Drosophila melanogaster: one gene and its partner. The protein of the gene in region 2 purifies or fractionates together with the protein of the main gene of each other region. This does not show direct contact. Each region holds a gene or a part of one and is shown on either strand. Other genes may lie near its edges. The genes, in order: Rpt6 and Usp2.

What was found.
Region 1: the proteins of Usp2 (region 2) and Rpt6 purify together in Drosophila melanogaster (affinity purification with western blotting; one study listed by BioGRID). This does not show direct contact.

What each region holds. Positions count from the first base shown.
Region 1 is NC_004354.4:21,314,089-21,318,012, reverse strand, and holds Rpt6 (regulatory particle triple-A ATPase 6), read right to left. Parts: upstream 1,962-3,924; 5' UTR 1,836-1,961; coding exon 1,818-1,835; intron 1,755-1,817; coding exon 1,610-1,754; intron 1,465-1,609; coding exon 410-1,464; 3' UTR 350-409; downstream 1-349. Other genes in the region: CG1801 (uncharacterized protein), read left to right, coding at 2,958-3,175, 3,277-3,862.
Region 2 is NC_004354.4:22,453,518-22,457,441, forward strand, and holds the start of Usp2 (ubiquitin specific protease 2), read left to right. Parts: upstream 1-2,285; 5' UTR 2,286-2,346; intron 2,347-2,928; exon of another isoform or gene 2,929-3,042; intron 3,043-3,373; exon of another isoform or gene 3,374-3,674; intron 3,675-3,909; 5' UTR 3,910-3,924. Other genes in the region: wap (wings apart), read right to left, coding at 1-155, 214-673, 877-1,067. UniProt on the Drosophila melanogaster protein: Hydrolase that deubiquitinates polyubiquitinated target proteins. Required for preventing the activation of the Toll signaling cascades under unchallenged conditions. Essential for bodily calcium homeostasis.

The DNA of each region.
Region 1 (3,924 bases), 1.1 Mb from region 2:
GTTGTGAACCATTGTAAATCTCCGACAAGTCCCCTGTAAGTTCTTTGGAACTATAATAAACATACATACATAAATGTAATTTTGGAAGTACTTTCCTTTCGGATTTTTAGGAATCATTGAGATCGAAAAAACATAAAAAAGAAAGAGATGGATAACCTCTCTTTTTTTGTTCTGATCAAGCAGCCAGTTGAAAACACTGCAATGTACTTTTTACAAAGCTGCTACTGTAATCTGATAATCTATTCAATTCTTCAGATATCATTGAACGAAAGTTATCTGTGAAGATCATAATTGGGTTGTGCGTACTGACTAAGGAGTAAATCCAATGACACAATAATGCATTTATGTTACTAACTGATGTATTTATTGAAAATAATATAAGGGTTCTTTTGCAATGGCCGATCAACGCCTACTTCCACAGCTTCTTGATAGACATGTTCTTCTCCGAGTCCTTCTGCATCACCTTGGCCACAGCCATCTCGAAGTCCTCCTGGGTGACATGGACGCGTCGTTCGCGCAGCGCATACATGCCGGCCTCCGTGCAGACGCCCTTGACTTCCGCACCTGATGCGCCTGGCATTAGCTCGGCGATCTTGCGCAGATTAATGCCACGCGTGAGGTTCATCTTACGGGAGTGGATCTTCAAGATGTCCAGACGCGCCTCCTCGTTTGGTGGCGGGAACTCGATCTTGCGATCAATACGGCCGGGACGCAGCAGAGCGGGATCCAGGATGTCAATGCGATTGGTGGCCATGATCACCTTGATGTTCTTGGTGGCCTCAAAGCCGTCCAGCTGGTTAAGTAGCTCCAGCATAGTACGCTGCACCTCGGAATCGCCGCCGGAACCTGACTCAATACGCGACGAGCCAATGGAATCGATTTCGTCCATGAAAATAATTGATGGTGCATGTTCCCGGGCCATTACAAAGAGTTCTCGAACCATGCGCGAACCCTCGCCGATGAATTTCTGGACCAGCTCTGAGCCAGAGACGCGAATGAAGGTGCACTCGGTGTGATGGGCAACGGCCCTGGCCAGCAAAGTCTTTCCTGTACCTGGAGGTCCATAAAGGAGCACTCCCTTCGGCTGGGCAATACCCAAGGCATCAAACAGCTCTGGATGCTTTACGGGCAACTCAATCACCTCCTTGATCTCTTTAATCTGTTTGTCCAGGCCGCCAACCATTTCGTATGTGGAGTCAGGAACTTTTTCAACCATCATAAGCGAGACCAGCGGATCCACCTTATTGGGCAGAATCTTGTGCAGCGTATAGCTCTCATTGCGCAGGGCCACGCGGCAATTGGGGGTTACGTCGTTGATATCTATGTTTTTGTCCAGATCGACGACGAACTTGCCCTCGGGATGCACCTTGACCAGCACTTTCTTCTTGTCCATGGGCTTCACAACCTCGCCCACATAGCTACCCTGTTCCTGGAGCAGCTGCAGCTCCTCCCGCAGCATCCGAACTGCAAAAGACGTGCTAATTAGGATTGCTTTCTCAAATTTAAAGATTTTTTGATATTAAGACCAAGAACAAGTCTTATATGTTTTCTATATCCTACAGCTAACCAACTATGCACATTATCTACATATGTGTAACAGTAAATTTACCTTTAGCATTGAGCTCATTGCGCTGGGCCTGCAGTCGTCTCAAATTCTGGTGCTTCTCGGCCACCACCAGCTGCAGTTCCTCGATCTTTTGGATGTAGTAGGACCGGAATCCCTCGCCTTTATGGTAGGCCGACTCGATTTCCATCTGCGAAAACATGGAGCATTGGTTTTTCGCGGTGGAAGAGCTGGGGGAATCAAATGTACATACCCGATTCGTCACCGTCATCTTTCGTTTTCTGTTTACACTTTAATTTGTTATTATTTGTCGAACTGAAGGACCACAATGCAAGATGTCGAATTAATTCCTCTTTATTGTATGACTCTGCATTTGCTTTTCGAGATGACACATGCCGGTTATCGCACTGCATTCGGAATATCGATGCCATCGAGCAATCGGCATCGATAAAAACGCTAGGTGGTAAAAAACCTAGCTAAGGTTTTCGAATTAAATGTGTCCAGTAAACAATTAAAATTAAATATAACAAAACACGACCTTACTCGTAGGATTATACCCGTCGTAGAGTAAATGGAGTGTACTAGATACGTTGAAAAGTATGTAACAGGTAGAAGGAAGCGTGTCCGACCATATAAAGTTTATATATTCTTGATCAGGATCAATAGCCGAGTCGATTTGGCCCTGTTCGTCTGTCCGTCCGCATAAACTTCAAGATCTTAGGAAGTTTAAAAGCTAGAAGGTTGAGATTAAGCATACAGATTCTGGAGACAGCGCTAGTTTGTTGACCCAAACCACCCAAAACTGCCACGCCCACTTTTTTAAAAAATGTCTTAATATTTTATTTTTATATTAGTCTTGTAAATTTCTTTCGACATGCCAAAACCGATACATTTTTTCAATTTATTTACCAATTTCTAGACAGAAAAATGATGATATTTCTCTGAGTAACGGTTATCTGATAGTCGGGGAACTCGACTATAGGTTTCTCTCTGATTCGTGGTAAAATACATTGTGTTCTCTCTTGTTTTTGCGTAGCACCAGCGATTTTTAAGTAATGAACTTGAATTAGCCTAATACCGCTGCTAATGAAAAAAATGTAATGTATTTCTAATTAATTGTGAATACTTAATGTGACAAATTCTAAGCTTGAAGGTGTTCAATATTATCTATGAAAATTTCAAAACATTGGGCATGTAAATGCGTAGTCTGAAATAGTCATCAAAATGTGCTTTGAGAACAAAGTACTGGTATGTTTTAAGGCAAAATAAGAATATTTTCAAAATCCCCTGCCGAAAATCAAACTTCTCACACTCAAACCATCCGTTTTGTGCGGGAGTGCAGACCCGCCAACCAATTTCTGTCGTTTGTTAAATTTATATTTTAAATTGTAAAATGCCGGCCAGCAAGGGTCTTCTTTTCAAGCGCTACATCCGCATCGAGTTAAATCTGTGGCGGCGGACGCTCTTCGAGATCGTCGCCCTAGTGATAATGGTCCTAGTGATCTTTCTCAACCCCATCGCTCACTCCAAAAGGCTTCTATACACGACCACCGAGAACGAAAACGAGCAGAGCATCGTGTCCCACAAACTGCAGGACATAAATATATTGACGTAAGTGCATAGTATTCACCTACAACCTTTTGAATGTAGCGCCATCCAAAGGCGCAACTTAATGCTCCTACCTATTTATATGGTTTTGTTACCTTCCGCAGACGCATGGCAGACTCGAAGCGGGAGAAAACCAAGTACATCCTGGCCTTCACGCCGGAAACGACGTTTACATCGGAGGTGACCAAGAATGTGGCCAAAACGCTGGAACTGAGCTCAACCGTGGGCTACGAGAGCGAGTCCGAAATGCAAAATCAGTTCGATGAGCGGACTACCCTGGCGGGCATTGTTTTCAATGATCTGCGCGATGACGGCACTCCTTTGACTCTGTCCATCTCGATTCGGTTTCCCAGCGAGTTCCGCACGATCGCTCCGTTCCTCACCGAGGATCGCCTGTGGATAACCCGCTGTTCGGGTCGCATTAATCCCGGACGGGATCGGGCCAAGCACGATAAGCAGCAGGATATATATATTCGCGAGGGGTTTCTGCAGCTGCAGCACCAGATCTTTGTGGAATGGTACCACCAATTGCGCAAGGACATAGTTAGCACCTATCCAGAACCCAATGTCGAGGTCTACAACATCCTGCTGAAGGCCGCCGACGAGCCGTGCTCCGTGATGAGTGTCGCCCAGCTGCCCACATTCCTTTATAATTTTATATACCTACTGCCCTTTTTGAATATCATCAGAGTAAGTACACCATCTACACCACCTAACCAACATGAGATATAAGGACGCTTTCTGGCCCAATT
Region 2 (3,924 bases):
ACGCACGCTCTGTGATTGCTCAGTCTTGCAACGGGTGTACAAGGAACACGAACATCTAAAATTATTACTTCGCACGAGTCCATGGCAACGGTGGCTAAGTAGTTCGGGTCCTGTTTGTTCCAGGCCAAGCGCAGCAGCGCCGTATGAGCAGGATCCTATTGGATTTATCGTTATGTAGTCATCCGTTTTTGTGTTTTCGCGCGTTCTACTTACCTCATATATAATGGTCGAGTGCTCCAAGTGCCGCAGATCAAACATGCGCACCGACCCGTCCGCTCCCACCGAGGCAAACATGTCCCGACCGCCGCCGGCCCGCGAAAAAGCAATGTCGTATACTTCCTTGTCATGGGCAATCAATTGCGTCTTCACGTGTCCTGCCACATAGACGCGAGCGTGCGGCTGTCCGGTCTCCAGTCCCCAGATAGTGCAGGTTGTGTCTATCGATGAGGTTCCCACCAGATTGGGATCCACCTCGTTCCAATCAAACGAAGTGAGGGGAGCGCAAAAGTCGCTGTTCTTGTTGTTATTCAGTACGCACTCGAGCCGCGTGTCCGGTTCCCCGGCACGCCACACCCGCAAGTAGTCGCCACTGGTGGCCAACAGATCCGGATAGACACCCTTGGAGTCCGGGATCCACATGATCTTGGTTGTCGGATATGGATGATCAAAGGTGCTATTTGAAGAAGAAATAATCTGTCAGTGAGGAAGGGGATTTCGGAAAAATGGTTCGTATAACCAAATAACTATTCATATTTAAAATGATTACAATAATATCAAAACTGCTTATCATTTTATATTATTTTTTAAAGATAATATACGAAATATAAAATGAAAACAGAAAGTAGAAGGGATCAGCTAAACAAATATTCGGTATACCTCTTAGCACTAAATTCGCTGGTGTCCTCGTCCAGGCTGATGATCTGTACCTTGTTGTTGTACTCCTCGATGAAGCTGCCCAGTGCGAGCCGGAATCGCTTGTCCGGCCTTACACTCCAGTTCATGGAGTACAGTGGCCATGGCGCGAGATATTTGTAGATCTCCTTGCGCTTTCCGGCGGTCGAGGACATAACTGTAGATATGGAAAAGGATCAGCATGAGAATCTAGGACTCGTATTCGAATTCGGAGTCTGGATCAAGAACCCACCTGAACTGTGTGATTGGATACGGATATCCAGACCAAGACGAAGATCAAGACTTGGATGACAAGGTGCTGCTGAGTTTTCTCAATGCCGTTTAGCTGGTGGCCGGCCTAATGACGACGAGCTCCTTTGGTGATGATGACGACAATGATGATGATGGCTGATAATGACCACTCACAGCAGCGGACAACTCAAGAAAACTTCATGGAATGGGAAACAAAGGTCTTTGCTTGCCACTCGCATTTGCACACTTTACCGGCTTGCTTTTCCTTGGCTTTTCCTGTAGCTTTCCTCTTTTCCGAGATTCACATCATTTTGTGCACTGGCAGTATTGCCAGCTCGCCCGTTTTCCGACTAGAGTCCGTCCGTCCGTTTGCCGTCGTTATTCCGGCGAAATTTAGGTCTGGAGGACACCGATCGGAGAAGTCGAACTGTACTCAATCAACAGGGCGAAGGAATTAATTCAACGGCGTGCACATCGCGACCGCAACGCATCCGTTTGGCCAGCAAGTGGAATTGTGCCCGGCACTCCGTATAAGGTGGCAACACTAAAACGTAATGCGACGCGAAAATTCGTTTGTGGCGGTCCTTCGATGGGCAAGCTGCCCCGGTTTTACCTTATAATTTGGTTAAGTTTCCAATCCAACCACAGTTTTCTGAAACAGCACGGTCGGAATTACACGGAATTAGTATTCAAAGAACTTTTAATACATTCTTTTCGACAGAATTTTCACACAAAAACAGTGTGACCGCGCAGATAGCTATAAGAAATACCTTGTGCAAAATCATTGTTATATACCAGATAAACAAAATACTATTTATTTAAAACAAAATTCTGTATTAAATTATATTGAACTGTAATATATAATATTCTAGGCTTGACTTTAGTCTAATTAAGAATTGAAAGTTGTGTGTTTATTTCCACCCAGAAATCTTTTCCCTGGAACTGGAAATATAATTCGATTGGCGTTTTGTGCAAAAACTATTAAGTTTGAAGCATATTTTTCAAATCCCATATGATGGAATTCTGTGTAAATGGAACATTAAGAAGGCCTCTGCTCATCTGTTAGCAAGTACACCAACCATACATGCATCAGGCATAGTTCTTCGATAGTTATCGAAGAACAGTTAACCTATCTTCAAAATCTAGTGACGGTGACTTCGTTTCGGCGTGCGGCCACACTAGCAAAAAAAATAGGATTAAAAAGTGAGTTCTGTGTTGTGCAAAAAAAAATTGCTTTAATTCGACCGGAAAAAGGCCCTTTTGCGGTGCAAAACGATGATGTCGCTTGGCTGGCGTTAAAATTTGTGGGATATCATTAAGAGACGGGACTTTCGGCAGCGCGACCTCGTTCGCCTCGTGATGTTCGTTTTGCGGTCAAATTTTCACCTTCGCCACCCATCCCCTCGCCCATTTGTTTTCTATCTTAGTATGAATTTATACACTTTATATACGCATTTGCCTTTGTACATTTTTTGTGTTCCGTGGATGTATGAAAAATTCCTAATAGCCGTCGTCGTCACTTTTCCACTTTCCATTTTGAGAAAGATATTTCACTTTGCGTAATTCGTACGCTGCCTGGCGCCTGTGTGTGTGTGTGTGACCGTGTAGCCAATAGTGCTACATCGCTCGCGCGCACAATCTCGGCACTGTTTTACTACTACCCTGGCTCGCCCCCTCTCCCTCACACATTTCACTGCCAAACGTACGCGCGTGTGTGAGTGCACCTTTTAAAAATAGAATCTCATTTCGTTTCGTTTTATATATTGTTTTTGCTTTTATCACAATTATTTCGATTTTGACGTGCAAAGAATGTATGAGTTTTGTGTCTAAAGAAAGCGGCTAATCGTGGTAACCGTTGAAAAAGTTCAGCTACACCTGTGGGTACTCGCGTGCGATTGTGTGAGCTTGGATAATTCAATTTTTTTAAGTGAATGTGTGTGAATGGGCTGTAGTGTAGTTGTAGCATTTTATGAACGAAAGATCGATTCGTGAAAGTGTGGCCATCTTATGTTAGTTAAGGCCTACCACCCGCTTCTCCCATCCCCCTGCACTACACCACCCGCAGAGCCTTACACTTGTGCATGTATGTATGTAAAAGCAACGGTTTTCTCGAATGGGAGCGTAGACAGCCTGGCGGCACACACACGAACGTAACTTCATTTTAAGTGTTACCGCATAAGGACAGCCGTCCGCGTCCCACACCGCCCCTACCCAGTTCAGCCAGCCAGCGTCACACTGAAGTTGTTGTTATGGCAAACTTGAAAACGGCTTTTCTCTATTTATTACTATTTTGCGATTGTAAACAAGTGTCGATCGGTTTTCCACTCTCCGCCTAACTGTTCATCAGGGACAAATCGAAGGCCACAAATTCCCGAGATGTGCGTGGGTGTTTTTTGCGCTTGTGAAAAATCAATCGTGGGAAGGGGAAGAAAGACGAGGAGTTCCGCTTGAAGGGTTTCGCATTATCTTATGCAGAATTCAAGATAACCTTGCGCCTGCAAGCCTTCATTTCTCCAATAAGTGAATCAAATGTAAACGGACAAGGTCTTGACAATTTAGAATTGTTTGCACTACTAAAAGTACCGTCATAAAAATGTGGTTTTGATTAAAAGATGTTCCCTCATTAGATCATTTACACTGGGCATTTTCCAATCTTTTGGGTATATTTTTGATAAAGAAGTTAGAATATTATGGTCCGATTAGTATGAGGTTTTGAATTCGAATTAATTTGATAAATAGGGCCTTCTAAAATTCCATTCTTTTCAGTTTCGCCTACAACTT